Linked DNA regions of Schizosaccharomyces pombe. The protein of the gene in region 1 interacts with the protein of each later gene in a biochemical or structural test. Each region holds a gene or a part of one and is shown on either strand. Other genes may lie near its edges.

Evidence for each region.
Region 2: the proteins of mcs6 (region 1) and mcs2 form a complex in vitro, tested with the Schizosaccharomyces pombe proteins (one study listed by BioGRID).
Region 3: of the proteins of mcs6 (region 1) and spb1, one has a biochemical effect on the other in vitro, tested with the Schizosaccharomyces pombe proteins (one study listed by BioGRID).

The regions. Positions count from the first base shown.
Region 1 is NC_003423.3:3,241,065-3,248,071, reverse strand, and holds mcs6 (transcription factor TFIIH associated cyclin-dependent protein kinase Mcs6), read right to left. Parts: upstream 5,072-7,007; 5' UTR 4,644-5,071; coding exon 3,636-4,643; 3' UTR 3,504-3,635; downstream 1-3,503. Other genes in the region: gga22 (adaptin), read right to left, coding at 1-653, 710-947, 1,198-1,273, 1,327-1,414, 1,452-1,488; rps401 (40S ribosomal protein eS4), read right to left, coding at 2,141-2,929. UniProt on the Schizosaccharomyces pombe protein: Protein kinase essential for cell proliferation, where it is required for completion of cytokinesis. Phosphorylates the C-terminal repeat domain (CTD) of RNA polymerase II.
Region 2 is NC_003423.3:1,886,954-1,898,209, reverse strand, and holds mcs2 (transcription factor TFIIH complex cyclin Mcs2), read right to left. Parts: upstream 5,231-11,256; 5' UTR 5,055-5,230; coding exon 4,782-5,054; exon of another isoform or gene 4,696-4,781; coding exon 4,622-4,695; exon of another isoform or gene 4,570-4,621; coding exon 3,948-4,569; 3' UTR 3,802-3,947; downstream 1-3,801. Other genes in the region: SAGA complex, phosphatidylinositol pseudokinase subunit Tra1, read left to right, coding at 1-3,777; GDP/GTP exchange factor Spo14, read left to right, coding at 6,554-6,667, 6,815-6,940, 6,987-7,271, 7,328-7,669, 7,726-8,046; sul1 (sulfate transporter), read left to right, coding at 11,212-11,256. UniProt on the Schizosaccharomyces pombe protein: Essential for progression through the cell cycle. Possesses kinase activity that can be detected when myelin basic protein (MBP) is provided as an exogenous substrate.
Region 3 is NC_003424.3:913,819-925,719, reverse strand, and holds spb1 (rRNA methyltransferase Spb1), read right to left. Parts: upstream 3,440-11,901; 5' UTR 3,407-3,439; coding exon 3,337-3,406; exon of another isoform or gene 3,296-3,336; coding exon 3,202-3,295; exon of another isoform or gene 3,150-3,201; coding exon 2,973-3,149; exon of another isoform or gene 2,828-2,972; coding exon 760-2,827; 3' UTR 587-759; downstream 1-586. Other genes in the region: ubiquinone biosynthesis protein Coq4, read left to right, coding at 1-217, 274-508; protein mcp1, read right to left, coding at 3,710-4,951, 5,004-5,747; irs4 (ENTH/VHS domain protein), read right to left, coding at 6,489-10,628; SPOM_SPAC1687.08 (uncharacterized protein), read right to left, coding at 11,102-11,392; SPOM_SPAC1687.07 (uncharacterized protein), read right to left, coding at 11,689-11,901. UniProt on the Schizosaccharomyces pombe protein: Required for proper assembly of pre-ribosomal particles during the biogenesis of the 60S ribosomal subunit.

The DNA.
Region 1 (7,007 bases):
TGGTAAAGAAGGAGATTGAGCATCAGATCCTATGTCTAAATCGATAAGTAAATCCATGGCACTTTGAGTATTAGATGCATTAGCCGAGGTTTTGGAATTACTCTTTGCCGATTCAGTAGTAGCTTGAAGAAGCGAATTGTTATCGGCAGCAACGGTACGAGCTGATGAAAAATCGCCTTCCAGTAAGTGGTCATATTGGGTCAGTAAAGATGCGATTAACGATTTCAAATCGCTAACAGTCACGTAAGAGTCATCTTCCGGACTCATTTCTTCTAATATCTTATCAACCTTACGCTGAGCAGCCTTCAAGGAATAGGCCAGCTCATCGTACAAATCACCACTGGCTAGTTTATCGGATTCAGAAACTTCATTCAACATTTCACCAAACAGAGCTGCTTTTCTTTTGACTTTTTCTAAATCTACGAGAACATGTTCCTTATATTTTTGCTTTTGCTCAGTGTCGTAACCAGCCATAACTTTCATAAGTTTGTTGGCTTCAGCCAAATCTGCCGGAGTACCGCGACGAATTAGTTCCTGTAGTTTAGCAGACATAGCTTCTCTGTCTTCCTTTTCAAGTTCTTCTGCTGTTTTTAGAACAGATTTTTGACTTAAAACAGCAAGATTCTCTTTATCGATTTCAGGAAATGTATAGCCTAAAGTGGTTAACTCGGAAATTATAATCGAGATTTCAAGTTAACTGAATACAAACCTTTGTAAGATAAAAGTCGGTGCATATCCCTAATAAAACCGAGGTCTTCTTTATAACGATCAACACGACAAATGGTTTTCCGCCATTCCTCAATTAAAGAAAGAATCATGACTTGGATTTTGTTCAAGCGAGAAGGTGGGCGCTCTGGAAATCTTCTTACTAATTCGTTTAAGAATTCTTTAGAAGCAATTTGTAAACGAAAGGCATATCCACAATTTTTGACGCAAATATCAAGAAGCTAGAAAATGTTAGCACAAAAGGCATTTGAAAAAAACGTGAAAAAAAAAGGGCTCAGCAAAATTTATAATAAATTTAACAAAAATCTATTTTATACAAATCACAATAACCAGATTGGAATTCTGAAGGTTCAGCACTTAAGATTGTTTCGTTCAGAAAATAAACAAGTTATAAAAGCAGTACCATATCAAATAATGCGAAGTAACTTCTAAGTGAAAAACAAAGTTGTGAAAAATTAAAACAGAACATACATTTAAAGCCAGATAGGCAACTGTTGGATTGCGATCATTGACCTTACGAACAATGGCAAAGGCAGCTTCTCGAGGCCTATAAAATAATAAACACGTTAGTATAATCAATATTATAAGTGAATTTCCTACAAATTTCCGCCAGTTTGATTAATCAAATCAGCGATATCCAAATTAACCGCTAGATCTGGTTCAAAAGCGTACGGCTCGGTCGCATTTTCTGCAGTTAGCAACTATAAAGTAATGTAATTTCTTACGAATTAAACTGTATAGTCTTCTTTTAGCGCTAGACATTAAGTCAATAATTCCAAATTGTTACAGCAGAGCGGCTTAATCAAAGATATTCAACTACAGCTTCAATGCTTAAAGTCTATGAAAATTGCGTATCTCTCTGTATTATGGTAGACGTCCAATTTCGTCATTATTCTAAATAAGGATACGAGTTTAAGTAACCATAAAACTTGCGGCCAAGCGCTCACTATTCACGTAGCCTTTTTGGTTGTTGATGTTTACCTGCCAACAATGTGACTCTTCTCAGTTAGTTTTTTCAAAAATATAATTCTACTAGAAAAAAATTTAACCTCGCTTTCGCTCGTAGGAAATTGTTTTGTTGTATTACGTTTGACTTGAAATTTAGTAACAAATAAGAAAACTAGAGTATTTTACCAACACGCATATCCAACTAAGAAATTATTCACATTCTTTAGCTAACAAACCTCTCCAACTGGTGAATTCGAAAGTATTATCGAAGATCATCATTGAATTTTTAAAAAGACAGGTCACACAACACAACGATTTACAAGAATTATTAATGCTACTATTACTTATGCACGCGACATATCTAAAATGAGTTTAAAGTTACATGTCTTAAAATCAACACAAAATTACGAAAACGCATCCATCATATTATAACAAAATGTGCATTTGCTTTTTGAAAAAATAATATTTAGGCAAGTCCCTTGAGAGCACGTCTGCGGTCACGCTCTTCGGTAATGCTGAGCTTGACACCCTTACCCTTGGGCAAAGAAATCCAACTCTTGCCAGTCTCGCCAATGACAAAAACGTTGGAAAGACGAGTAGCAAACTCACGGTCCAAAGCATCCTTAACATGAATGATTTCAAAGGAACCAAGATGGTGCTCACGATGGACAATGGTACCAACACGTCCCATGTTACGACCACCGGTAACCATAACTTGAGCGGAAGTATCAAATTTAATGAACGACTCGATCTTGTTGGTTTCCAAGTTAAGTTTTATGGTGTCGTTGACCTTGATCAATGGATCGGGATAACGAATAGTACGTCCATCATGGGTGACGAGAAAAGGAACACCCTTAGCACCTAATTGAACACGCTTGACCTTGCAAAGCTTGTATTTAGCCTCTTCAGCAGTAATACGGTGGACAGTGAAACGGCCCTTAATGTCATAGACAAGGCGGAAGTGCTCACCAGTCTTTTCAACGGAGATCACATCCATAAAGCCGGTAGGGAAAGTAGAGTCGGTACGAACCTTTCCATCTACCTTAATGAGACGTTGCATAAGGATAGCCTTAACCTCACGTCCGTTCAAAGCATATTTAAGACGGTTACGCAAGAAAACAATCAAAGGAAGGCACTCACGGGCCTTATGAGGACCTGGAGAAGGCTTTGGAGCGTAAGTTCCGGAGAGCTTGTCCAAAAGCCAGTGGTGAGGGGCAGCAACACGCTTCAAATGCTTTTTAGGACCTCGAACCATTTTTGGTGGATGCAGTATTCAATATCCAAAATTTTGGCCAAGTGTCAAAAGATGTGACTGCTTTGTATAGAATATCGATGCCGAGTGCACCACAGTAGCCTATTTAACTGTCAAAGTACTCGCTCGTTTAATAATTAAATTAGAAACCGTAACGTACCACGTTAATAATTTAATGAGTTTTTGGACGTACCAGTTTTCCAGAAAAGCTGGAGTACGATTTACAAGAAGGCTTTCGCTAGTCTATTGATTAATTCATATTGTATAAAACTTATATATAAGAGATTTAACGATCTTATAAATACATCATAATTCTAGCTTTACTACCAAATATGTTAAAAACATGGATTGCATGTTTACATAAATCATTAAACGTTGGAATGAGTATTGTATTATCAGATGAAAATAAGAGTGTCCATAATTCTGAAATATGGTTAGAAAAAGCAATCAATTTCCATTAACTCTTAAGCAATGGGCGATAATACCTCAAAGAGTACCGCAAGGAAATGAAGCTAAGTAGAAGATATTTTCGTATAACGTTGATATCGAAATTATCAGCGAGTAGAGTAAACGTCTAAAAAATAGAATGACAATTATCTAAACAGAAAAATCCGCATACAGTCACATCATTCCAATTTTTCTGTAGGGAAACATGAATGAGAAAAGAATGGTATATAGTTAAAGGTGCATACTAGCACACGATCAATCATTAAACAAATTTAATATTTGCACGCATTGGAAAGTTGTTTTGTCGCTGCAGGTCACTAGAGACGTGCTTGATTCCTTCCTCACCCCCTTTGCGTGGGAGAAGAGAAGGATGTGTGGGTTTAGGAAGGGCAGAAAAATAATGATGCTCAAGGGCTTGTTGAGCAGTGGGACGACGATATGGATTGTAATCCAACATCATCTTGAGTAAATCAATTTCTTCATGGCCAGCTGCCGAAAAAAGAGCCTCCATACCACCGTTAGGAGGAGGAATGTGTTTCATCTCAACGTAGTTGGGAAGCTGTTGCATGCTTTTAATGACCTCTGGTTCAGGAGTTCCAAGAGCGCGGAAAATTACGTTAAGCTGATCCAGATCAGATTCGCCTGGCAAATACGGGGTCCTAAGCATCAACTCTGCAAAAATGCAGCCTACACTCCACATATCAACACCGGTGCCATAGCTTCGACAACCCATAAATAGCTCTGGAGGCCTGTACCATCGTGTAATGACCTGATGACTCATGTGGCTTGGGGTGCCAAAATCACGAGAAAGGCCAAAATCAGCCAATTTTAGGACACCGTCACTCGAAATTAAAAGGTTATTAGGCTTCAAATCTCGATGAAGGATGAAGCGAGAATGAATGTGATGCAAACCGCGTAACAACATGACCATCCACGATTTGATGTGGGCAGGTTGAAAAACGATGAATTTGTCTTTGATCAGCATTTCCAAATCACTGTCCAGGAATTCCAAGATGATGTTGAGGTTGGACTTTGTGGAGAATACATCAACTAACTCGATGACATTGTCGTGCCTTGACTCCCGAAGAAATTTGATCTCTCGTAAAGCACTTATATCGATACCATCTTTGAACTGGCCCACTTTAATCTTTTTAATAGCCACACGCCGATTAGTTTCTTTTTGGCGACCCAGGAACACGACGGCATACGTTCCTTCACCAACTTTGCGCTCCTTCACATACGTCCACTTGTCAGACTTTTCGATATCCATAACGAGAAACCTTAACCCCTATACTATTAATTACAGAGTACTTTAGAATACAGTGGTAAGTAAATTGAGGACAGGTTTGTATAGCAGTATGATGGTATGGTAGTGAAGCTATATACAACAAAAACACACAAACAATTCCAGCAAGACTTTTTCTTATAGGGAAAACCTTTTTACAAGAGCTTTCTCGATGTGTATATAAATGAAGTAGGTACTTAACACACTACTTCGCAACGCAATCTTTTGATCTTTATACTACTCCCAACGTTTGTAAGCAAACACCCACGTTTTAAATTAAGATGGAAGAAATTCACCAATATATGTATTCAGGATTCTCGGTTTAGCAAACGTTACCGCATGGCTTTCGTAATCTTGTAAAACGCTAATTCATCGACTTGGACTCAACAAAGCAGGAATGGTCGAAAGGACCCACAAATTTGGTTCATTATTGGTGTAGCAATAATTACAGTGACTACTAAGGGATGGGTAGCATGTCACTTTTGTGGTAAATTTTAAGATTCGATTAGTCTGGGGTTTATCGACCAGCATCGTGTGTGGAGTCAGTGTAAGGGGCTCTGTGGCTTATCTTGAATGCTTGTTACATAACGAGGTGTAGAGTAAACTCTTGCAGCACGTTCACTTTCGTAATTCGATTTTATTGAAATTCAATCTACGTTGGAGAAAAAAGGAAGAAGTAAATAGCTCTGAGTAATACTAATAGTCGTTGAGTAGATATGACAGATACAAAGGCACACAGGCAGTACATGTTGAAGTAAAAGAGGTAGTTTTCTTGAAAAACAGGGGCTTTAATGGTTAACACCACGGTTGGTGAATCGCATCACACTCTATTCGTTGTGCCACAATTTACTCTAATTATATCGCGATGCCATTTGAAAATTGTTTTCCCTCCACTTCTTCCCTCATAACAATTCTGCCTGCTAAACAATAATTTATTTAGGTTCCATGCTGAGATGAGACTTATCCACCCTTTTAATTTACACTCCCTTTGGACACCATTACTAGCGAACCGGAAAGACTGTTTATAAGCAGTTCTCCAATTTACTACCAATCTCACACTTAACAAATGACATGCTAGCTTTTTTCCTTCCTGTTGTTATTCTATTATTTTATTTTATTTTTAATTGACAGATTCCAATAAACCCCACGAAAACTCGCACTGCCTTTGATTCATTTTGTTGGGAACTCATTTAACGGAGCCCTTCGCGCTCTCTATGTCAAAATGTGAAGGAAACTAGCTACAAGACAATCAATTAATCAAAATGCTTACGATGTCAAGAATTGTTATTATAGACTAGGGAGCACATAGTAACTAGCTAGTTAATGACGGTATTACGAAACTACAAATCCAAATACTGATGCGATGGATTATATTAATGAATATACCGTTTACAAGGGTAGTATTCGTTATTGCCAAATACACACAGCTCCACATCCTCCATTGCAAAAGGCGATGGGTGATGGGGGTACACAGGTATATATGAAAAGAGAAAAAGCAATAGTCGTTGGGGGATTTGTTTTGTTGTACGGTGAATGTGGACTGTGTAACAAAAAAAATTGATATAATAATTATTTTTAATATTTTCTCATTCCAGTTAAAAACACTTTTATTGTATCATGAGAGGCATACAAAATAATTGGAGTTGTTGTAAACAAACAAATCCATGACTGGAAACTGAGATCGCTCTTTACGATTCACTTCGTCTCTCACTTCAATGTCTCTTCTCTTTATTCTTTTAGTTCCAATATGATTAAATTTTTTAATAACCCCCCTCCCCTTTTTCAGATGACCTTCTGATTACTATGCTTTGATACAGAAATAAGCTCACAGATAAACGAATTTCCGACCTTGTTCCTTCTCTTACTTACTAATTTTAAATTACGGCTTAGACTCTTATTTATGCATCTCTCAAGTGATTGAACCATCTCCATTAAGCTTCTCCACATTTCAACTATACTTTGACGAAATCACACAGTCATTCTACCCCACAAACAGTCCCTTAATATAAGTCAAGATGACTGAACAACAGGATTTATTGATGTCAAATCTGTATTTACATACCATATCCTCAATTCCATCATATTGAGAGAATGCCTGGCATTTTCCTACAAAAGAACGAACCATGCCCCAAAATGCCGGCCTTACAAACAAAGTGTTTAGTTTATTCCCAAAACTATATTCTGTTTTCACTGCACCAAACTTGGTTTTACAAACAATAAGTGTTCTTTGCAAATCCATCACGGCTCAGCTTCAATAACCAGCACTCTTTTTTCGCTTCTAATAGTCCTTTTGCAGTACCTTTATTTAATAACATTCGCCTGGATATAAATTATTATCATTATTATTTC
Region 2 (11,256 bases), 1.4 Mb from region 1:
AGATTTACCTTTTTCAAACAACTGGATTTGTTCCTAAAAAGAAATAAGGAATTAACTGTGCAAAAAATTATTTTTCCGTTGGCACACATTCAAATGCTCAGCGATGCAGATGCTAATAAGCTTTGGCAATATATTTTTCCTCTTGCATGGAAAATACTAAGTTCGGATAACCGTTCTGACCTTTCAAAGTCTTTAATCTATTTACTCACTCGTGATTATCACATCAAACAGGTAAACAATCGACCGAATGTGATCTCTACTTTGGTTTCATCTTTCGTTAAGTGTGCTGCAAAATTAGAGCTTCCACCTCATTTGGTAAAATATCTTGGAAAATTGTACGGTGTATATCATGAATCCGTTTCACTTCTCGAAATTCAGCTGAGTGATAAATATGACATGTATCAGAATGCAAAAGTTCAAGAAAGCCGTGCGGATGCAGTCGCAGAGTTATATGCATCTTTAAATGAAGATGATATGTTTTATGGCCATTGGCGACGAAACTGTAAGTACTTGCAAACTCAAGTTGCTCTCTCGTATGAGCAACTTGGAATGTGGGGAAGGGCTCAACAACTTTATGAACAGGCACAGACCAAGGCTCGCAGTGAAGCCATTCCCTTCTCAGAATCAGAATACAACTTGTGGGAGGATCAGTGGGTAATGTGCGCTCAAAAATTACAACAATGGGACGTCTTGACAGAGTTGGCGAAGCACGAGGGATCTTCTGAACTATTGCTCGAGTGTGCTTGGAGAATTAGCGATTGGTCTAATAATCGTGAATCCTTAGAGGTTGCCATTAAGAGCCTTTCTGATGTTCCTACTCCACGGAAACTTACCTTTCAATGCTTTATGACACTTCAAAAGTCAGTATCTCAACCTCTTGCCATTAAAGAGTTCCAACAAGTATTGTCTGAAGCCATTCAACTTGCGTTAATTAAGTGGCATCAACTTCCAGAAAAAGTTAATCAATCTCATTATTCACTTTTGCATCTGTTTCAGCAATTTGTTGAACTACAAGAAGCTGCTACAATTTATTCACATCTGAATGCTATCAATTTTCAGAATTTGCCTACTAATGTTCAGTTGATTAAAAGTGCTCTTCAAGTTTGGCAAGAGCGGTTACCTAATGTCTGGGACGATATTAATCTTTGGCGTGATCTCATTTCTTGGAGACAAATAGTATTCTCTATGATAAATCGTGTTTATCTCCCCTTGGTCCCTACGATACAGGCTAATAGTAGTGCTGATTCGTCTAATCCTCCGAATACCTCTTTCTTATTTAGAGGATATCATGAAACCGCTTGGCTAATTAACCGATTCGCTCATGTTGCCAGAAAACATAAACTACCTTCCGTATGTCTGAACCAATTAACGAAGATATATACTCTTCCAAATATTGAAATTCAAGAAGCTTTTTATAAGCTTCGAGAGCAAGTTTTATGTTATCTACAAAACCCAAGAGATCTGAAAACAGGTTTGGAGGTTGTTACAAATACCAATCTGATGTACTTCAATTCTAGACAAAAGTCAGAATTCGTGACATTAAAAGGAAAATTTTTAGAAAAACTAAATCGAGGTGAGGAGGCTAACCAAATGTATGCTGCAGCAGTACAAATTGATTTAGGGTTGCCAAAGGCATGGGCAGAATGGGGTCGTTACAACGATTTGCTTTTCAATAAGTCACCAGATAATTTGAGTGCAGCATGCAATGCCATTAGTTGCTATCTTCAAGCTGCTGGTACTTACCAAAGTTCTAAAGCTCGTAAGATGCTGGCAAGGGTATTGTGGTTATTAAGTTTGAATGACAGCGCCGGTACTATAGTTAAAGCTTTTGAATCATACAAAGGTGATATACCAGTTTGGCATTGGCTTACCTTTATTCCCCAGCTTTTAAATTCACTTTCTAAAGGGGATACTAAATGCGCACCTGTTGTTCTTAAAAAAATTGCTAAATCCTATCCACAGGCACTATTTTTCACTTTAAGAACTGCTCGTGAAGATATTGCACAGGTAAAACGCACTGAGATGGCAGCATGGAAATCAAATACGACTGATGAAAATAAAAGAAATGAGGATATTTTAAGCATACAATCTAACTTTCTTTCTACCAATCAAAGCACGAATGCTCCAGCAACAAATAAAGAAGATGGACTTTCTAAAAAAGTTTGGGAATATATTGATGAAATTATGTCAATTTTAAAAACTGCTTATCCTCTATTGGCTTTGACTATGGAAACTTTAGTTGATCAAATTCAAGCGAAGTTTAAATGTAAGAATGATGGAGATGCTTTCAGGCTAGTGGTAGCCTTGCTTAATGATGCTGTACAGCATAGCATTCGTTTGGGGATCGTAACGGATGAAATGAAACTTCCTTCTTCAACCGAATCGAACTTAAGTTTGTTTGCTGATAATATTCTCCCTGACTATTGTAAACAACTATTTAAGGAAGATTTCATTGTCAATTCAAACGGTTTGAAATCATATATTTTCAAACTAAGGAAATGGAGATCATATTTTGAGCGGTTATTATCTAAGGTTCCTAAAAAACAATATTTGGAACAATACAGCTCATTCTTGTGTGAATTTCATCATCAAAAATTTGATGAAATAGAAGTTCCTGGACAATATCTTTTGCACAAGGATAACAACAATAGTTTTTCTTGCATAGAAAGGTTTCTTCCTGAAGTGGAATTGATAGTAGGACATGGCGTTTGCTATAGAAGGTTATCCATTCGAAGCAATGGCGGAACTATACACCCATTTGTCATTCAGTATCCTTCAGCACGAAACAGCCGTAGGGAAGAGCGTTTTATGCAGCTGACCAGATACTTAAATGATGCACTTGCTTTAAATTGTGAGACTCGAAGACGTTGTTTGAAATTTTACATTCCTGCAGTGATTCCGTTGTCATCGCACATCCGGCTGTTAGAAGACCAACCGTCTTCTATTACTCTCCAAAAAATATACGAAATTTATTCAGAAAGAAATAACTTCTCCAGAGATGATCCGAAAGAGTTGTTTACAAACGAGTTATCAAAACATATGATGGAATTAAACTCCCAAATTAGTCAGGAATCTACTGATGCTGAAAAATTAGCTAATCGTAAACAATTGTTTAGTAGGAGAATCGGAATGTTTGAAAATATTCAAAAGCTTTATTCTCCGTCAACGATTTTAAAAGATTATTTCTCAAGTATCTTTACTAATTATTCCGATCTGTGGTTGTTCAGAAAAAATTTTTCATACCAATATGCTTGTTTTTCATTTATTACATACATACTAAGTATAAATAATAGGATACCTGCTAAGCTTGTTTTTTCTAGAGACTCTGGCGGTGTTTGGACAACAGAAGCGCTGCCATCTATGGTTTCTTCTACTCCAGTTTACCATAATGGAGAAATTGTTCCTTTTCGCTTTACCCCCAACATTAAAGAATTTATTGGAAAAACTTGTACTGAAGGTTTACTGGGCCCTTCAATAATGGCTATAGCTCGCGCGCTCTCCAAACCGGATTTCGATTTGGATATGTACTTGGGTATCTTTATTAGAGATGATCTTTTTTGGTGGCTTGCACAGCAAACTAAAGGCGTGCCGGCAGATTTCAGTATGCTCAACAAAGTCAATAGCAATACTGATCTTATAATGCGAAGGGTTGCATCATTAAGTCAGGTTGCTTATGGTAACTTACCAGTCAATCAAACAGCTATTGATTATTTGGCGCAAGCCTCTAGTTCCAAAGTTTTGGCACAGATGGACGTCTTATGGGCTCCTTGGCTGTGAGAGAAATGAAAATGTTTTTAATTTTACAAATAGACATTAAAAATAATTAATGAGACACACTTGATAGTGAATTTTACTGGGAATTTTTTATAAACGTAAACTATTTTGTCGTAAAAAAAATTGACGAATAATGACTATTGAAGTAAATTTAGCACTTTTCAAAGAAAGAATCATTCAAACGGATTTTTATCCAACACATTACTGCTGGTTGAGAACTTTTTAGCCCATTTGTTGTTATTAGTTGATTCTTCTTCCGCTTTTCGTTTAAGGTACAAAGCACTAGACTTGTTTCGCAGAGGATTCATGCAGAAATATAGCTTTCTGCCGTAATCTTGTGCCTTTTTTTTCTCAATCTTAAATTTTTTTGTAGCTTTCAAATTGGCAGAAATCGAAATTATCAAAGGTTGCAGTTCTGGAATTTTTTTTGCTTCTATATATTGTAAACAAATAGTTGGATTCGTATGATAAATAGCACCCAAAGCAATTATGCTGGGTGAATGTAAGAAATAGATGTCAGAATGCAATGTCTCAATTAGGAATTTTTTGGAAAGGTCATGACATTCGTAAAACTTTTCGACAGCAACTTTCGGAAGCACTGTTTGACAATCTAAAAGGAAGCCTTGTAAAGGACGAAATGGAAGCCAGACGTAAAGGTCCCATTTTAATGATTGACAAACGTTAAATTCGTATTCAAGAACTTCTTCGGGAGTCGTCTTGGGCATGTTTTTACAGAATTGTTCAATAGAGATATAATGATCGTTGCACTTGGTAGCTAAAAATAAAGAAGTAAACCTAATGTAAGAAAAACAATGTTAGCTTAATGGACTCGGCGACTTAAACATACGAAATAATTTTTGGACTATACTCCATGACAGAGTTAATTAGATAAAAGCGTTTAAAAAAAAGAATGGCCGTGGACTAAAATTTTGTGAGTAAAGTCGGAATGTTTATATTGAGTACAGTTTCCAAGTAATTGAAGGAAATCCGACCATGTCTAAACATACGCGAATATGAGTTGGTAAGGAAAGAGCGGAAGAAAGTGCGTTCAACTGGAAACTATAATAATTTACAAGTTCAAGTTCTTCTTCAACGGTAAGAGTTGGAGGCAAAACTTCTAAGGATGCTTCCTTGTTTTGTAAAGACAACTCTTCCAGCATTCGCTCACGTACAATATTCGTAAATTTTTCATTTACTTTAGCACGTGTTTTTGAAAGGTCTTCTTCCGTAAAAATCCAATCTCTGTAATGCGTGGAATCACGAAATTTATCGGCAGACATGTGAATAATGTAAGTAGAATTTACAGCACTCTATCAATTGAGGGTTATGCAAAAATTTAAATACTTCTCTATAAAGCCAGTAAAATAATAATATTTTTGAAATTTGGATACTTCTCTGCTATGAAAAACCCAAATCGCTCGTTCGCTGAGACTTTGTCGAGGACATCAGATACCCTGGATGTGGAGAAGAGAGTTTTTGCAATTAATGTGCGATGTGCAAAAAGAAAGCAGCACTATAAAGTTATATTAATTTAATGAAGAGTTTATTACATAAACTAAAATTTACTAATAAATAAAATATTGTTGAGTTGAAAAAAGTCTTGCATTCATGTTTCAATCAATTTGTATCAGCATAACATTTCACTGAAACGAAGCTGAAAAAAACAATAGTTATATAGGATTATGCTTTTTTATATTCCATTGAGGCATATCATTTAAAGCCAAAAAATTACCTGACAACGTTCAGTTACATATTTGAGTGAATTGCAAATGAACAAGAATTGGTAGTTAAATAAGGAAATGAAACAACATATTATTAATTAAATTTAATTGGAAGTCAATCTTTGAAATGAAACACGCTTTCTGTGCAAAAAACAGAAGTAATATTATAATCATACACAGGCAGCGGCGTATTAAGATTGTAGGCACCTTGGCACGAGATCGAGCATTCATACCCTTTAGTAGAATAAACACAAACATTAATTTCATGGACAATGTAGTCTCGCGGCAATTTCGTCTTAAAAATAATAATTGGAAATTATAAATAAATCCGAAAATTTCTCATCTCCTCACTCTTTCCCCAGTTCTCTTAATCTATTTTCGTAATATGATGAACATGTAGTAAATATTGCTATATAAACTATATAAACAATACAACGTAAACCTGGTAAAATGTACAGGAGACCGAGATATTAAATAGTGTCTGTAGCAAAGTTGCAACCAAACTGAGGTCGGAATTGAGTTCTAAAAAGCTGAAAAGGAAAATATAAATATAAAATGAGCCAGAATATGCTCCGAGATTTAGAAAGAATCTATTATAAGTTTCTGTTTGTTCAAAGATTCTTCGCAAATAAATATCCACAAGTAAGTATCATCCTTTTTTAAGTCAATAAGGATTTAGGTTATCTCTAATTAAATCTTTTCTCTACTGTCATAAAAAAATGGATAAAAACTTATGTATATATTAAACATCGCCTAAATACGTAAAAGAGGATAGTGATGTCGATATTATTCGATAGATTCTGATACGGGGATCTAATATTCTTACAGTATTTGCTTAAGTCTCGAAGTAGGTTCACAGCGATTTCGAAACATACCCACACCACCGTATTCAAATAGACATTGTTTTTTTTTAGTGGAATTCTTGTAAGTGTACTTTATTGATTTGCTCACTAATAAGTAGAATTTTTTTTTGATTCGTCGCCGATATCGATTTATTTTTTCAATACATTCCTATTCCTCGTATCCAGCTTAAAGTGTTTTCTAATTATTAGATCAAAATGGCTGAACTCCACCTTTCTTTTCCAGCTTATTCTCTTTGTTGGATTAATAACCATCAAATGGCGGTTGGTGGTGGAGGAGGAACTACAAAATCTGGTGTTAAAAACAAATTGGTATGTCAATTCGTGACTGTAAGTGAAGGATTACTTCATTATCTATCTATTTTACAGCATTATAAACTTTTTAGTATCCGGATTGTTAGCTAAAAAGATTATGTTTTACAATTGGACTATAGGCGCTAATTAGTTTGTCGAATTTAGAAGTTATTATCATATGAAGACTATGAACCTGAAGTTGGTGAAGGTCATACAAAATTTATAGAACATGGAGAAATCGAACTTAAGCATTCGGATGATGCCGTTATGTCGTTGGGTTATTTTAAAAATGTATGCAATATTTTTTTATTGCATAGCTAACGAAATTAAATTGTAGGAATTAATAGCCGGTATTAATAACACCATTGACGGAAAGTTAATTGACCATTTACGTTTATATGGAAGAAAGGATAAACTATTTGAGGAAAAGAACGCTCTCAGGTTAACCGATTTTGACAATGATGAACAATATCAAAGGTTATGTTTATTTGAGCCATTACACGATGCAATTTGTATATCTTGCACTAATAAAAGTTTTTTTATCATCTCCAAAAATGATCACAAAGTTTTGTTTGAAAAACATGGTTCAGATGTGTATGACGTTTCATCTACTGAAGACAAGGTAAGCCACAGCCTTTACTAAATTTTATTTATTAAATCCTTACCATTCTTTTGTAGCTTGCAATTGCAGTTGATGATCGCGTCGAAATTTATGATTGGAACACTTTTGAATTGGTGCAAGTACTTTACATGCCGGTAGAGCGAGCCACAGTACGAGGTGTTTCGTTTTTACCCAACCAATCCATAGTAGCTGCTTATAACTATATTAAAGATTCCAAAAGGTTTGCTTCATTGGTTCGATTTGATTACAGTTCAAAGAATCAACTTTGGAGATTTGGCATGATCCGAGATTTAAAAAATGCAAAGGGCGTCACCTGCTTTTGCTGTGATAAGGAGAATGGAATGATCATAGTTGCTGGAGCAGATTGCAGCATTCGTTTCATGTCTTTAGACTTAACGGTATGTGTTTACTTAAATATTTTTATTGCGATTTTGCCTTCTAATATGCATGCTAGAAATTGTCTCAAGTTTATAAGCATAGCCTTCCAGTAACTGATATGCAGTTATCCCCTGATTCTGAAGCACTAGTTAGTGTTTCTGCTGATGGCTTGCTTTGTCTTCAGTTTGTAGGAAAATTCAAAAATTTGAGCGCTGTCAAACTTGAGGATGCCGGAGTCATACTTCGATTGTCTCTTATGTTCCCTTTTGTTTTGGCGATCCTGTACTTTTACTTACAACTTCTTTTCCCAGATGAGAAGTTAGACGCAATTCATCGATTCTTTTCCTTTATTCTTCACATTTTTTCGAAATACACGATTAGAAACTATGACCTTTAAAAAAAGTAAAACCAGCTCACGTTTTATGGTTTCCTATAAAGATTTGGCTGGCACGTAACTAGCTTATTGTTTCCTGCAACTTTGCAGACTTTTAGAGTTCTTTTGTTTGGATAGAAGATTTATGTTTTGGGTGGTTTCATTTACCACAGTCATCAATGACGATATGAGGAAATAAAGAAATTCTACATAACTAATCATGAGTATGCCAATTTCGATCTGTACAATGACTATGCAACATTATAAAGTCTGTAGGGCATTTATGAAATTTTGCGTTGGACGACCTTAGAATACAAAATGTATGTGTCTTTTAAGTCATAAACATGTTTTAGGGCCAGCGGCAGTGACAGTAGTGAGGATTTTGAAGTCTTTTAAAACCAAGGAAATTGTATTCATAACGGTCAGTGATTAGCATATGAAATTCGTTAAGCCATTATGGTTATCAGATATCTGGGAGATCAAACAAGAACCAAAAAGTAAAGGCTTAGGCGAAATCAAAAATATACCTATTCAAAAATATTTTTTGTAATTGATTGAACAGATTGAGCGAAACGATTCACGATATTCGAGAAAAAGCGAAATTTGCAACGTTTGCCTTTGTGTGCTCTCAAGACTTTGAGAACATCACCTCAGATCAAAAGAGAACGGCTAGTAAGTAGAAATTAAAAGTAATCAAAGCACAATCCTCTATCTTTCAGGAAAAAGAAAATCCTCATCGATTGCAATCTCTTCTTTCGAGTATAGATTTCTATAACTCAGTACACTCAACTAGTTTGAAAACAGTGAGCCAGTGCGTAGTACGATAAAATTGAAAACCCTAAAGGAGAAGACAACATTACGCCAAGGGCAACGAAAGAAAAAAGAATTTCATAACTATGAATGAAAGAGCTCTTCGACTGCTTCTAATCAATCGTTTCACATATTTAATGACTTTTCGAGTACCGTTGATGACACACTACGGCAGTTACGAAGGTAGCCACATAACTTGTCTTATCATTCATACCGACGATAACGGTAGCGCACTACAAGGTGTGGGGCATTCTTCGGTTCAGAAATTACAATAGAAGAGGCGAGGCTTATAAGGTCAAACGAGAATTACGCGATGCTTAATTTTGGAGGGAGAATTTTGGTTGGAGCATGATATCAGGTAGCCGCAGTTTTTAAAGCCGAACCGAGTGTTGGTGCAACGTGGGGTTATTTTTAAGGTAATGAGAAGCGAAAAAAAGGTCGAAAGGACAAAGGACGTGAGGCATCGCACTTAAAAATTGGTATAATAGCACACTTCAATAATTAAAATCGTTTGACTCTTTCAGGATTTGTATTGCAATAGAGAGCAAGAAAAATCATAGGGGGCGTGCGAACGTTTTTTTTTTGTGATAAACAATTTCACTTGTACTGCAAGAGTGTCGGAGCGAAGAAGATTACAGTAACTAAAAAGGGGGAGGGAGGTTTTCAAGAGACATAATGTGAATGAACAGGTGTTTATGTGTACCTTTGGACATGCAAGTGCATCTTTGGACTATGAGCTTTCTAGACACACAAACGTCTAGGACTTTGCAGCACCTGACTCGGGATGATTGAGATATAGCGACTTTCTTAAATGTATTTACCGGGTTTTAAGAATGAAAAGAAGGAGAAATTTTGGTAATGCTGAAAGAAGGTATTGGAGAGATGCTATGAGGAGTGTTTACTAAGCAAAGCATTTTTCTTCTAATTCCATCCACATTTCTTTGTATACCTATAAAAAAATGAAGTTCTTATTTGTTTCCTATTCAATTACTCGTTGAAAGTGTAATAAAATCTGCGCACAACGAAGCATGTAATGGCAGTAAACAATACCCAGGGATGAGGAGGAGAGAGAAAGAAAGACGAACCAGTAGGAGGAAGTTAAGAAAAAAAAGATAAAGAAGAACAAAAAAAAAATTATTAAATCCAAATGAATTCCATGACAATTCCAAAAATTGATAAATGTCAAACGCCAACAATTTTTTCTTTTCCTTGCATTTCTCTCACAATTCTCTTCTTCTTCTCTATAACGTCCGTCCGCCTTTGTCGCAAAGTGTGTCTCCCACTATAATCATTGAAATCCACAATTCGTCGTTATACCATTATATGTCATGGTCATCTGCCACGCTTTTCCCGGCCGTCTTCGCCGTGCTTCTTTCTGTTACTTTTATGTAATCAACGCCGTTACATGTGTACCACTCCACTCCCCCGGTCTTCGCCTCCTAATTGGACCTTGTTTGCTACCTAAAATTGAAGTTTATTTAAAGTAAAGTTGGGATTGGTGGGTACAAGATACATGACATCTTTTTGTATCGCTTATATGACATCACGGACAAGTCGTCTTTGAGAAACATTGTCCGGGACTAGGTAACGAAAATTGCGCCATTTCTCACTGATGTGAGCAATCCTCCGGTTCATCATAAAAAGTAAACAGGTCGCTGCAAAATGCTCTTTTCCACTTGTATTTTCGGTTTTTTCCTTTCCCAACCACTCTGTCTGTTTCATAGCTGAACGGAGTCGTAAAAGTTCTTACACCGCTTTACTGACTTACATGGAAACCCGAGAGCAATTTTCCTCGTGCGTCTTGAACTTGGTGAAAAAGGAAATTTTTCCAAATAAAAAAACACAACATTCCCTTTAGAAACCCCGAATTTTAGACATTTCTTTTACTTTCTAACGATACTCTTCATTTTCTCTTCAAAAGACAATCAATTTTGATAGAGACTTGTCAGCTGTTCATAAAAAAAATTTTTCCTCCAAAAGTGAACACTTGAAGCAACAATCCACAAACACAAACCAGGTTTGCTGTAAATTGTTGTTGTTATCTGTATTTTTTTAATTTTCCCCGAAACGACTTAGTTTTGACGTGTTTACTATTGAATTATTCGAGTTTGGAAACGTCTTGTACTCGACTATTTATTTCTAAACCGATTTATGTTTGAATTTGATTTGATTTTGCTACTTCCGAAGCTTTTCAAATCTCATTTCACGCCACATCAATCATTTAATTCATTTTAAAGACTTTGTTTTTATTTTTGTGTTTTTGTTTTTTTTTGTGTTTTTAGTCTTCATACCATCTTAATTTCTTCATTTTTATTCCTAAAAAGACCATTCTCAACGCGTTTTTTGTGTCCATCTGTCTCTCTTTCTTCCGCATAAAAAATGTCTTTTATCAAGAAAATCAAACACTACTTTGCGGATCCTGCT
Region 3 (11,901 bases), on another chromosome or scaffold:
TACCATTTTTGCGGACCCTTCCGCCAAATACCCTAGGTAAAATTTATGTTGACTGGATAGACAAAGAGCATGTTGGACCCGATACTCGAAGCCCTACCCGTTTTGTAGATGACCCAGAGGAGGCATATGTTATGCAAAGATATCGTGAATCTCACGATTTTTACCATGCTATATGTAACATGCCTACAAACATTGAAGGAGAATTAGCTATTAAATGGTATAGATATACTTTACTTTATTTCTAACTTCATGGTTTGTATACTAACAATTTAGGCTGGAATTTGTTAACATGGGTTTACCAGTTGGAGCTCTCTCTGCTTTATTTGGTCCTCTACGCTTAAATTGTGAACAGGCTTCAAGGTTTCGTCGGGTATACATTCCATGGTCGATTCGTAATGGTTTGAATGCAAAAACATTGATCAATGTCTATTGGGAAAAGGAACTGACGAACGACATTGAGGACGTCCGTAGACGAATACGAATTGAGGCTGCTCCTCCGCTGGTTTAGACCTGTAATTCAAATTTCTTCCATTTACTCAATCGAAATATTCGAAAAGAACTGCATATAAATAGTTAATTAATAATGTTTATATATGTAGCAGTTTAACTCTTGCAAAACATATCCATGCTGTTACTCCCAAATCTAATACTAAATAAGAATACTATTAATCCACTAAAACCCAAACTCTAACCTAGATATAATTATTTTAAGCCTAAATTCCACGAAAAACTGTTAATGAAATTAAACAGTCAAGTATTTTAACGACGACCCTTTTTAGCTAGTCTTTTTTGTGCGCGCAAATCCTTTTTCATTCGACTGTCAACCATTTTATACTTTCCTTTAACACCCTTAGGACGAGATTTAAGGCCTTTATTAGGACCCTTTGCAACAACTAACGTAGGCTTTGCTTTAGGCTTCGATTTAGTAGCACGGCTTACGAGTCGCGATATTTCTTTAGCTTTTTCACTTTCAGTCATATCACCGCTTTCTGAAATTCCTTCAGCTTTTTTAGCGACACGTTGCAGACGCTTAATAGTACGCATCTTTTTACGACCTTGTGCCTCAAGAACTTTTTTGATAGGACGAGCATTAAGAGCCTTCATTTTTTCCCGCAAAGCCAAAACGGCTTCTTTGGTGATTGGCTTGTTGGGTTTATTGACGGTTGTTTCTTCATCCAAAAACCAATCTGGAAGACCTTCTTTAGATTGAAACGACCATCGATTATAACCTTCATCAATCAAATCAGCCTTAGACTTTCTCCTAGAAGCAATATCCTGAGCTAGTGTCATTGCCTCGGCAGTAACAATTTCAACGTTGTTTTCATCATTATCAGAATCAGAATTCCAATCATCATCTTCATCATGAGCTGAAGCAACTGGAACGACTTCAATATGATCATTGCTGTCCTCACTTTGGTCTCCCTTGCTTCCATCGTCATTATTTTGAGAAGCAAGTTCAGCTTCACGTTTCTTTATAGCAGCGCGGTTCATAGACATGATTTCCACATCAGCATCGGCATCTTCAATACCATCAAAAATGTCCTGGTCAAAAAACATACGTGCTTTTCTACTAAGCCCATCCTTAGTCGAACCTTTGTCTAACAAAGACGTTGTCAGTCTGTCTTTATCAGGAGTAGCAAAGTTCGTCTCAGCAATCTGAGAATCATCGCTTTCGGTGCCATTATCTATACCGTTCCATTCTTCATCATCAAGATCGCCACGCGCTTTTTTAACGCGATATTTCACATCAGATTCAGCCTTGCGTTTAGTATAATCAGAATACATTGAATCCAAGTCAGCCTCTAAGCGATCGCGCTCATCGTCACTATCGTATTCGACTTCATTGTCCGTAGAAACTTCTTCGTCAACAGATTCAGTTACGGGAAGCGTTCCATTTTCCAATTCTTTTAAACCATGCTTTTCAGCGGTTGCTAGACCAAACAAACTGTCTTCGCCCATGGCTTCATGTTCCAAGCCAATATCCATTGGGGCCAACATTCCCATTTGCATACGAACAATTTCACGCTGTTTACGCTGATTCGCTTTCCGACGCTCACGTTTGAGTTTAACACGTTCGGCTTCACTCAAATCTTGTAATTCTTGATCCAGTCTCTCTTCTTCATCCATTTCAGGAATCTCCTCAACCACTGTTTTTTGCTCATCCTCTACCTTTTTACCTATACCCATCTCATCTCTTATTTTCAGTCGCCATCTCAAAATATCGCGGAATTCTTTTTTACCTAATACTTGTAAATCTGAGCAACACAAAAGAATTTCTTCAGTAGTGACGTCTAAATTGTATAAGCGTTGACATTCCTCATCATCTTTTGGGAATACAATTTCAGCGGATGTACCAAGGATTTGAATGGGATCATTTGCGGTAACAAATTCCGATGCCAAGACAGTTTTGTGTAATGTGTAATCATCGTCAGCGTAACCCTCACGACTACGTTTTCTTTTTTCAGGATGGAACACTTTTGCATCAACGTTTGTAACTGGCTCTTGGACTTCTTCGAAAACGGTACGAGGATCTGTAAAGCGAGGATCTAACTTTTTTGGTGCTTTGTACCCACGACATACGACAAAAATTTCTGCAGAGACGTTACGAGAAGATGGAGGTTTAGTAGCCTCAACTTTATTAAAAAGTTGTTTGAATACCCATAAAAGATTATTATAATCCCTTGAACGAAAAACTTTTGTAACAAATGTACCACCAGCAACCAAAAATTCACATGCTAATTTCATTGACATTAGCACCAACTGAGCTTGTCCATAGGCGTCCTGCAACCATGCAGAACCAACATTTGGTGCACCATCATGAAGAACACTGCTCAATGCATTAATAAAAATTCGACAAAAACCAATATGGGCAACAAATATTCTAATCAGTTCAATCAAATTTCTAAGATTGCAAGTGAAACAAGAATAGTTGCACCCGTTTAACCGCTTCCTGCAGCATATCAATTACTTACACATCAGCTTTCCAAGTTTTCAAATATCCACGCAATTGCGATCTGCATTTATCACTTGTAATATCCTCAACAAACGTATGGCAATTAGGAATGGGTTTAATAGGAGCAAGATCAACACCAACGATTAATGAGCCAGGTTTGCATGTTTTAGAAGCAACCTGTAACCAACCACCTGGACTGTTTTGACGGTCAGTGTAAAAGGATTTTGAATAATAACTATACAACTTACGCAGCACAAAGATCAATGATGACTTTAGCTTTTTCAAGGAAACTATATTTCTGATTCAATTGCACTAATTTAAAAGCAGCACGAGAACGATACCCTAAACGTTAAAAAGTGTTCATTGTAGCTATTAATAAATACCTTGTTCTTTGGCAAGCTTATACCATTTATCCAAACGGCCTTTGGCCGTCTTTTTTTGTGATTTACCCATGTGGTTTTATCGGTGCAAAAATTGGTGAAAGGCAAAAGGCAACTGGCAAATAGCGTACAGTACACTACAACATAGACTAAAGAAAAGATACTGTCAAAGCACTTAAAATTAAAAATCTTGTTTATTTTTGAATAAGATAAAAAAATATTAAACAGTATGAAATAAGATTGGAGAAAATTGCTTTTGAATATGTTAATACTACAATATTTTAATGCTCAGTTAAAAAAATTACGAATTATTTCATTATATTCATACATTAATAGTAAGTATATTAAAAAATATTGTAGAGTAACGAGAGACAAATTATAGAAAAGTAGGTAGTTTAGAACCTTCATCAGACGAAAAGTGTAGCCCATTTAAATTGTTTTTTAACTTCTTTGAGATATCACTACTGGAAAGTGAAAAAGAAGATAGTTGTTTACATAAACTTTGATCTTCACTTGCAGAGGAAGATTCACTACACGTTTCCCAATCATGGTTTTCCAAAAACCTGTCAACCTTTTCCACATTAGACTGAGTCGGTGTATCATCAAGTGAATTAGTAAATTCACCTTTGGGAGGAGTACGTGATAACAATGGCTCTATCATTTGACGAAGCGACACAGAAGCAGGAGTCGTCGAACTTCCAGTAAGCTTGACAGAGTTATGAGGTGTGTCGTGCTGCGAAGGAAGTATCTCCTTTATATCAGTGACCGGAATCGACGAAGATGAAGCATCGGGAGACAAACACGGCTCTCTGGGACCATGCCGAGAGCCTTTCCTCCTAGGGGAAAGTGTATTACTTTTAGAATGATTCTTGAATAAGCAACCACTAGATGTTTCCCTTACTAATCTCTTACTTTTCGAAACACTTCGAGTATCAGGACTTTGGTTAACCATTCTATCAATTAACGGCTCTTCATGAGAGGCTAGCCTAAGAGGAAAACGAATGCTTTTTTTGCTTTGGACATCAATGTTTCTTAACTTTTTATTTTCGATCTTACCTGTGGTTTTCCGCGCAGGTGGCGATGACTCTGGTGAAGATTTGCTATTGTCATTAGAGGAAATATTCTCTTGATTCTGCAAAATTGGTGGAGAATGTATCATTAATAATCTTGAAGACAATGGTTTTCCAAAGACATAAATTTTCTTTTCGTTATCCTCCTCCCACTCCCTTAATGCGCATATTAATTTAGCTTTCAGTAATTGAAAATCCTTTTGCAAGCGCTTTAAAGTGAAAGGCTGCGAAGCTGATCCAGACAATACCTTCATTCTTTGAGATTCTTTATAAACCCTAGACTCTAAGAGAAGATACCGCCTAATCATGTTGTTCAATTCCCCTTGAAGATGGAGATCAACTTCTAGGTTCCCAATTTCTTGTTTCATACTTTGAATTAATTCTCGATTAACGTTAGGTATTTCTTTAAATTGAGATGTAAACAACATTTCTTTTTTAGAAACGAACATTATGCGAGCCAGTGAAAGGTACCTTTTTTGTAAAAACTCGTATTCAGTTTTATACTTAACAAAGTACACTTTTCGCATGGACGAAAGTTCATTTTCCCACTATATTGTTAGTTTGAAAATAATTATTTTAATAAAAATATCAAATTCTTACCAAAGTCAAGGTTTTATCACTATAGTTGGTCGGTAACTCAGAAGTCGGGTTTTTACCACACATATTTTTCATTTCGTTGACAATTTCATCGACCCGGGACTTCCTGCTTTCTAAAGAAAATCTGAGCTTCTCCTTGTAAATTATCAAATGCTTTATTCCGTTTTTGGACAAATCATCAGCGGGCATGCTAAGTTTTATAGACAAAGAATCCTGCAGTTTTTTTAATTCCTCTTTAATTTCAATGTTTTTTTCTTTCCTAAGTCTGTATATCTGATGAAGTTCATTTAATTTTGCTGACAACTGCTCAAGCTTTATATCCGATATGTCCTCAAAATCACCGTTCACAAAATTCACCTCATCAACTGATTCACCAAGGATTACAGATAACCTTTCAATTTCTTTGTACATATTTTTTGCTTCATTTTTCTTCGTGTTATAGATTGCTCGAATACCATTATGGTAAGTTACCAGGCATTCATATTGGTCAATTAGAGTGCGCGGTATTTCGATTTCTTCGATGATGCCCAGTCTTTTTCTTAAAAGAGATATCTCAGAAGATAATTCATTGCATTTTGACTCAATATTTATAATTTTGATCTCCAATTTTCTTTGGTGTCCTGACAAAGCGTCCAAGATGATATTGTTAAAACTGATCTTTGTAAACGAATACCCAAGTTTTTCGGAAAGTGTATAAATATTATTGTAATAATTGTTAAGCCTGTCTCCAATTTTAGCTAACTCCATAATATCTTATGATTTTAACATTAAAAACAGAAGTTCGGCATCATGGCCTTGGAGAACTTGGTTTATTTACCTCTAAACTTAAGGATCGAAAGTGAGTCACAACACATTATGGATTGGGACAAGTTCATACTAGCAAGATTGTTTAATAAAGAAGTCATGTCTTTTTAAAAAAAAAATCTACATCGAACAGTATTTTGGCTAGTTTTAATTGCTAAACCTTTGTGTTGGCTTATTATAGTTAAAAAATGCTAATTAAAGGATATAAATAATACTTGAAAAATTTTATAACAAACAAGCAAATGGTATCCAAGGAATTCGTTAAGCGTAAATCTAACCTATGCTTCAGTAATTAATCAAGTAATAAAAAGGGTAATGCATAAAAAAATGTAAAAATGAATAATAAAAGTTTTGCAAAATGAAAAGTTATGATGTAAAAATAAAGTCCTTCTTTTCGCTTAAAAAGGTCGCTTCGGTTGTGAAATATCTGCAAATTGAGTAAAACAATCGACAGCTTAAATAGATCAGAAAGTACTATCATTAACGATTAACAAAAGCAAACTAACAACTGATTGAAAACGTGGTTCGCAAAAATAGCGAAAGCTTTACGAAAACAGGTTCACAACGGAGTGTTTCAAATGAAAAGACCTTAATGAAGTAATACCGAAATGCCATTTTTTAATAAATGTTGATAAGCTTAAAGATATTTCCCGTTAAAAAAAAGAGGACCCGATGTTGATTTCTCTAGTCAGTCATCGCGCCCTCGTTCACCTTTGCTGTTGTATTAAAGTCGAAAAACTTTTTCAAATGTTTTCTCTTTTTCTTCTTTTTTTTGAAGAAAGGTTTTTTATTATCTGTCTTTTTCTGCAGTTTTTCTAATCGCCAAAGCATATCCCCCATACGCTTGCTGCTTAGCCATACAGAGTCTGGTACCTTCAACGGTAACTTGCGGCCTTTCAAATATTGATCGATCAGAAACATACCGACAATAAATTCATCACGCCCCAAGACACCTGTGTGATGTCTATCAACGAGATCGTAAATTTTGGCTAAAACACTCGTTGGAGCACCACTACGAGACCAGAGTTCGCGGACAACAATATTGCAAATCAAATCATTCGGTTTGGAATATTCTGATTTGCTCAGTAAATAACCTTTATTAGCAGCCCACAACCCTTCATAGAGCTTTCTACGATTTTCATCAATAAAGAACTGCGGGAGATCAACAGTTTCGGATTTACGCAAATTGGTTCCACTCTTGTATTTTCCGTCATCACGATGGTAAAAATGTTTATGCTTTTTCTGAGGAACTCGCAATGTATGAGGTGAAGGTTTGGCAATTGATTGCTTCGTTTTTAAAGGAGGTGGGTTTTCATGAACAGCTGGAAAGATTTTGTCTGCTTTCATAGCTGCGCGTACTGCTGACGATGAGCCTGAAACATCACTTGAAGAGGCAAGCAGTTGTGGAGATGGAGAATACTCAGAACCCAATACATCACGCAACTTAAATTTCAATACTTTTGTGGGAACAGCTGAAAAGCTTAAAACCGAACTTTGCGAATCTTTGAGAGAGTTCTCGTCATCGGACATATCACTATCAGTATACTGACCTGAGCCATCAAGTATTCCATCACTGTAATCGTATTTTGAACCGTTAACTTCATCCATGCTGCTACGATTAGCACCATGTGGTACATCTAAAGGAGCGTTTGAAGATCCAAGGTCTTCTTTATCTGAAGGAGCATCATAAAAAACATCTCCTTCAACTTCAGATTCTCCTCGAATTTGACCAAGTGAAACTGAATGACGATGAGGAAGTGAAACTTTTGGCAGCACAGGAGCCAGGACTTGAGGGGTAGGTGCGTGAATGAGTTTATCCTTATTTGCAACTAGAGTGGCAGCACTCAAAGACGCATCATGGGCCTTGGACGAAGAATACGACGTTTCTTCTATGGAGGGTGTAAGTTTTTCGGAAGCAGCCGTAATGGCTGCAGCATGAGCAGCTATTTTCCTATGATGGATGTCAGAAAAAGAATTATGCGAAGGAATGTGCAATGATGACGACGACCATTCCGTTTTATTAGAAGGAATTCGTTTATGAGCAGACCCAAGCAAGTGATCAAGGGCCTGATCATTAGAAAAAGAAGGTGCTTTTTCTTTATTTTTCTGACCAGTTGCAACAATATGAGCGGCCATTGTAGGAATATCATCAGTTTCATTTATAGAGGAATGAATATGCTTTTGGTTAGCATTAGTTAATAACGATTTAATAGAACGGGTAGAAGATGCAGATGAATGGGACAATTTCTTCTTCATAGGCAACATATCCATAGAAGCAGCGGATTGGCTATCACTTAAGGAGGCTTCACGTCTTGAAAAGTCTTTCGCGGCAGCCAAAGCAGCTCCTTGTAAAGCAAAAGGGTATATGTCCGTTCCGCCGATATCGTTTTCAGAATATCCTGAAGGGGGCGTTTGACTTTCAACCTCGTCAGATTGAGGGCTTTCGTCTTCAGCATTATGCCCAAAATAATTCTCAAGGGTAAATGATTTATGTTTTCTCCTTGGTTTCCTGTGTAGATCTGTCTTAGCACAAGTAGAAGCGAGCCTTGCAGCCTTAGAAGTAATATCGAAAAGCACCGAATCAGAATGTTGTGGTGTGCTTAACGCAGAATCTGAAAGGTTTGATTTTGTCTTCATTAGCACAGTTCCAGTCGTATTAAATGCTGGCTGCGCGATTTCAGTATGTTGTTTGCTTTTCGAAGATATGGCATCAGCATGCCGACTAGCAGAAAGTGACGCCAAAGAGCGGTCATTCAAAACTTCCGGGGAATGTTGAACATTTGCAGTCTTCTCTTTAAGGGAGGTACCAGCTTCCTGAAAAGAAAGTTTACTAGAAGCTAAGGAAAGGCTTTTTTTAAGGTTCACTTCTGAAGTCTTTGCGGGTTCGGAAACAGGTACTTGAGCTATACTCGCTAACTGACTTGCTGATTTGGAAATTTCGAATGGGTTGGACGGCGTCATTACTGGAGTAGCAACGCTTCTATTATAAACGCGAGCACCAGCTTCTTTCACAGAAAGCTTACTAGAAGCCAAAGAGAGACTTCTACCAGGACTCAGATCCAAATCGATAGAAGAAGTAGCCTCCGAAAAACGGTCCTTGCTAGCTTGCTGGCTAGCAGAGATTGAAAAGTTAGAAGGAGGATGTGAATCACACATTTCAGAGATATTACTAGATGACTTTGAGGCCGACTCTGTTTGTTGAGACAATGCAGCCCGTTTGCTAGCAGATATTGGTAGTTCGGAAGATGATTGATGAAAATAAGGTAATTGTGTCTTATTCAAAATGGCAGCATTTAAAGCTTGGTGCTCAATAGCTTGCTTGATGGCACCGTTTTTCAGTTTTTCCATATTTGGGTTATAAAATGAGGTTGAAGAAACAGAGGGATCATTAATCATTAAGGACTGAGACTCGACAGCACATTTACTAGCATCATTTTTAAGTTTTTCTACCCCAAGATCTGATACTGATGGTTTTGGAATTGTAGCGTCAGAACTCTTCAACGACAGAGATTCAACAGTCTGTTTACCAGCATCAGTCTTCATTTTCTCTAACATTGGGTCTGAAATCGACGGCTCTAAAAGTTCAGGGCCACTATTCATTAGAGATTGAGATTCAATGGCCTGTTTACTAGCAGTGTTCTTTAATTTCTCAAAAGACGGGTCTGAAATTGAAGCTGTTAGTGGCGGTAAGGGATTGATTTTTGAGCTTTGGGCCATAATAGCCTGTTTGCTGGCGCCATTTCTCATCTTTTCGGACATAGGATTGGGAAGTGGAATTGCTGAAGATAACGGTTCCGCTGATTTAAATGGTTGGGACTCAATAGCTAGTTTGCTAGCTCCATTTTTTAACCTTTCCATAGCAGGATTCGGTATAATATTTGATGAAGGTAGTGGTTCCGAAGCTCTGAAAGGTGGAGATTCAATAGCCTGCTTACTAGCTCCATTTTTTAACTTTTCTGAAGTAAGGATTGGTGAAGATCTTGCTAATGAAAGTGATTCCATGTTTTTGAGAGATTGGGATTCGCTAGCTTGTTTACTGGCACCATTTTTCAGCTTTTCCAAATTCTTATCTGAGGGTTCAGGAGTAGGAGTGAAAAAATCAAACTCTCTTAAAGATTGTGCTTCAGCCGCTTGCTTGCTCGCACTGGTTTTCAATTTCTCTACGGCTGGATTCGAAAATGGAGATACAGAAGGGGAAGGACTGAAAGTCTGTAGTAAAGGAGAGTTGAAGGCCTGTTTACTAGCGGAAAAATGCATACCGGAAGAAGAAAGTGAATTGGATGAAAGAGGTTTGAATTTGTGGTAAGAAGTGGCAATTGCGGCATTCTTTAATGAAAATCGTCGACTTCGAGGATGATGCGGAAAAGATGTACGAGGTGTTGGAACGGTCAACGACCGTTTTCTAGTTGATGTACGTTCATAATAACCACTCTTTTTAGCCGCAATGGCAGCCGCGTTCGAAGCCGCCCCGCCTCTTCTTGAATCCTCGACAAAAATTTGCTTATTCTTTTTGGTGTGATACTTCGAGGATAAAGGACTAGTGGAACTTTGAGAATCATCTTGTTCAGGAAAATCCGCAAAACTCGCTTTGGCAGCAGCTAAGGGATCTAGTGGGTTGGCATCAACATATGGATCTACGGATTTATATATAGCGGAAGGTAAGCTCTTTCTGTGGTTCTGAAATAGGGGAAAGGATCCATTAGAATGCTGAAAAAATGATCTGCTTATGCTTGGAGAAACTGCACGGCGGCTGAGGTTTCTTTCAGAATGCAGTAATGGATGTCTTTTACTATTTCGTAAAGATACGGGATGAATCGCGTCCATCGCAAGGCCTTCTTGTTCTACATCAGGGAATATAATAAATAATGAATGAAGGAGGCGAAATGCTGTCTAAATCGATAAGACCCTCACAGATTGTTCAAAAAAAAGAAAGAGGTTGTGTGTTATGAATTGTAGAAAGAAGGTTACAAAACGACTGCACTGATGGAAGTAGCATACATGTGATTTTTCCTTGCGGGTTACATACCAGATGACGCATTGCTAAATGACTCTGAGTACTGCGCTAAACAATTACCTTAAAACTTTTCACCAGTTTTGTCACTCTTCCTTGCTGCCCCGTATATTGCTTACGCAGTTTCAAAAACAATGTTACCTCTCTTTTAATAAGCTTACTGACTCTTAAAGTATCAATAATAAACTAAACAATAAACGAAATTTCACTTTGATCATTATCAAACATGATAAAACAAAATATTTCTTCAAAATTTTACTCTTCAAGGAATTTGAAAAGCAAATAATTATAAGGCTAGCATCTTTTTGCAATTAACTATTAGCTGTTGATGATACACAAACATTACAACAGAGACAATCAATATTGCAAGGGTGAGCCCGTTTTTTACACGGTTAGCTAATTGAAGCATTACCGTATTGAAAATAGTAACAGCTAGTTCGAATACTAAAAAAATTTTTAGACCAGCCTTACTATCTCGAGAATTGCTGATATATTGCAGCAAATGATCACAAAAGTAACATATAGCAAATAGAACATGGAAAGTACAGCGGATCGTCAGAACATTGAAGATAAACATTTCATTAATTCTTAAGAATTATTGATAGCGTTAGCAGTAATTGAAGATTTGGAAGTCCATGAATCGTAAAAAGTTTGAGAAAGCTTATGACAATGTTATATTTCGTTTCCATAACTAACGAAATAAATCGGTATCCACATGTTTTCGTATCCATGAGTTAACATACCATTCTGGAAAAATAAATAAAAAATAAATTCCGGCCGCCGATGAAGATTTTGAGATATTTTCGGAGACACTAACTAAGATTTTTTAGGACTTTGCGTAATTTTCTGATTTCAGTTGTTGCTTAATGACATTTAAAGTTTTGTAACAGCTTTATTGTCAAGTGGCATGCCGGTAGAGTCAACGTTGTTGTCACTCATGACTTTACGGATATAGATGAGTCTTGCCTGATCAAATGAGCACTGAAGCTGTTTCATCAATCCACGAATTTGTGAAGTAGCGGCTTCGTCCAGGCCGGCCCGAGTGTCCTGAGCTAGAATATTTTGGGCGATATCAAATGAACTGGA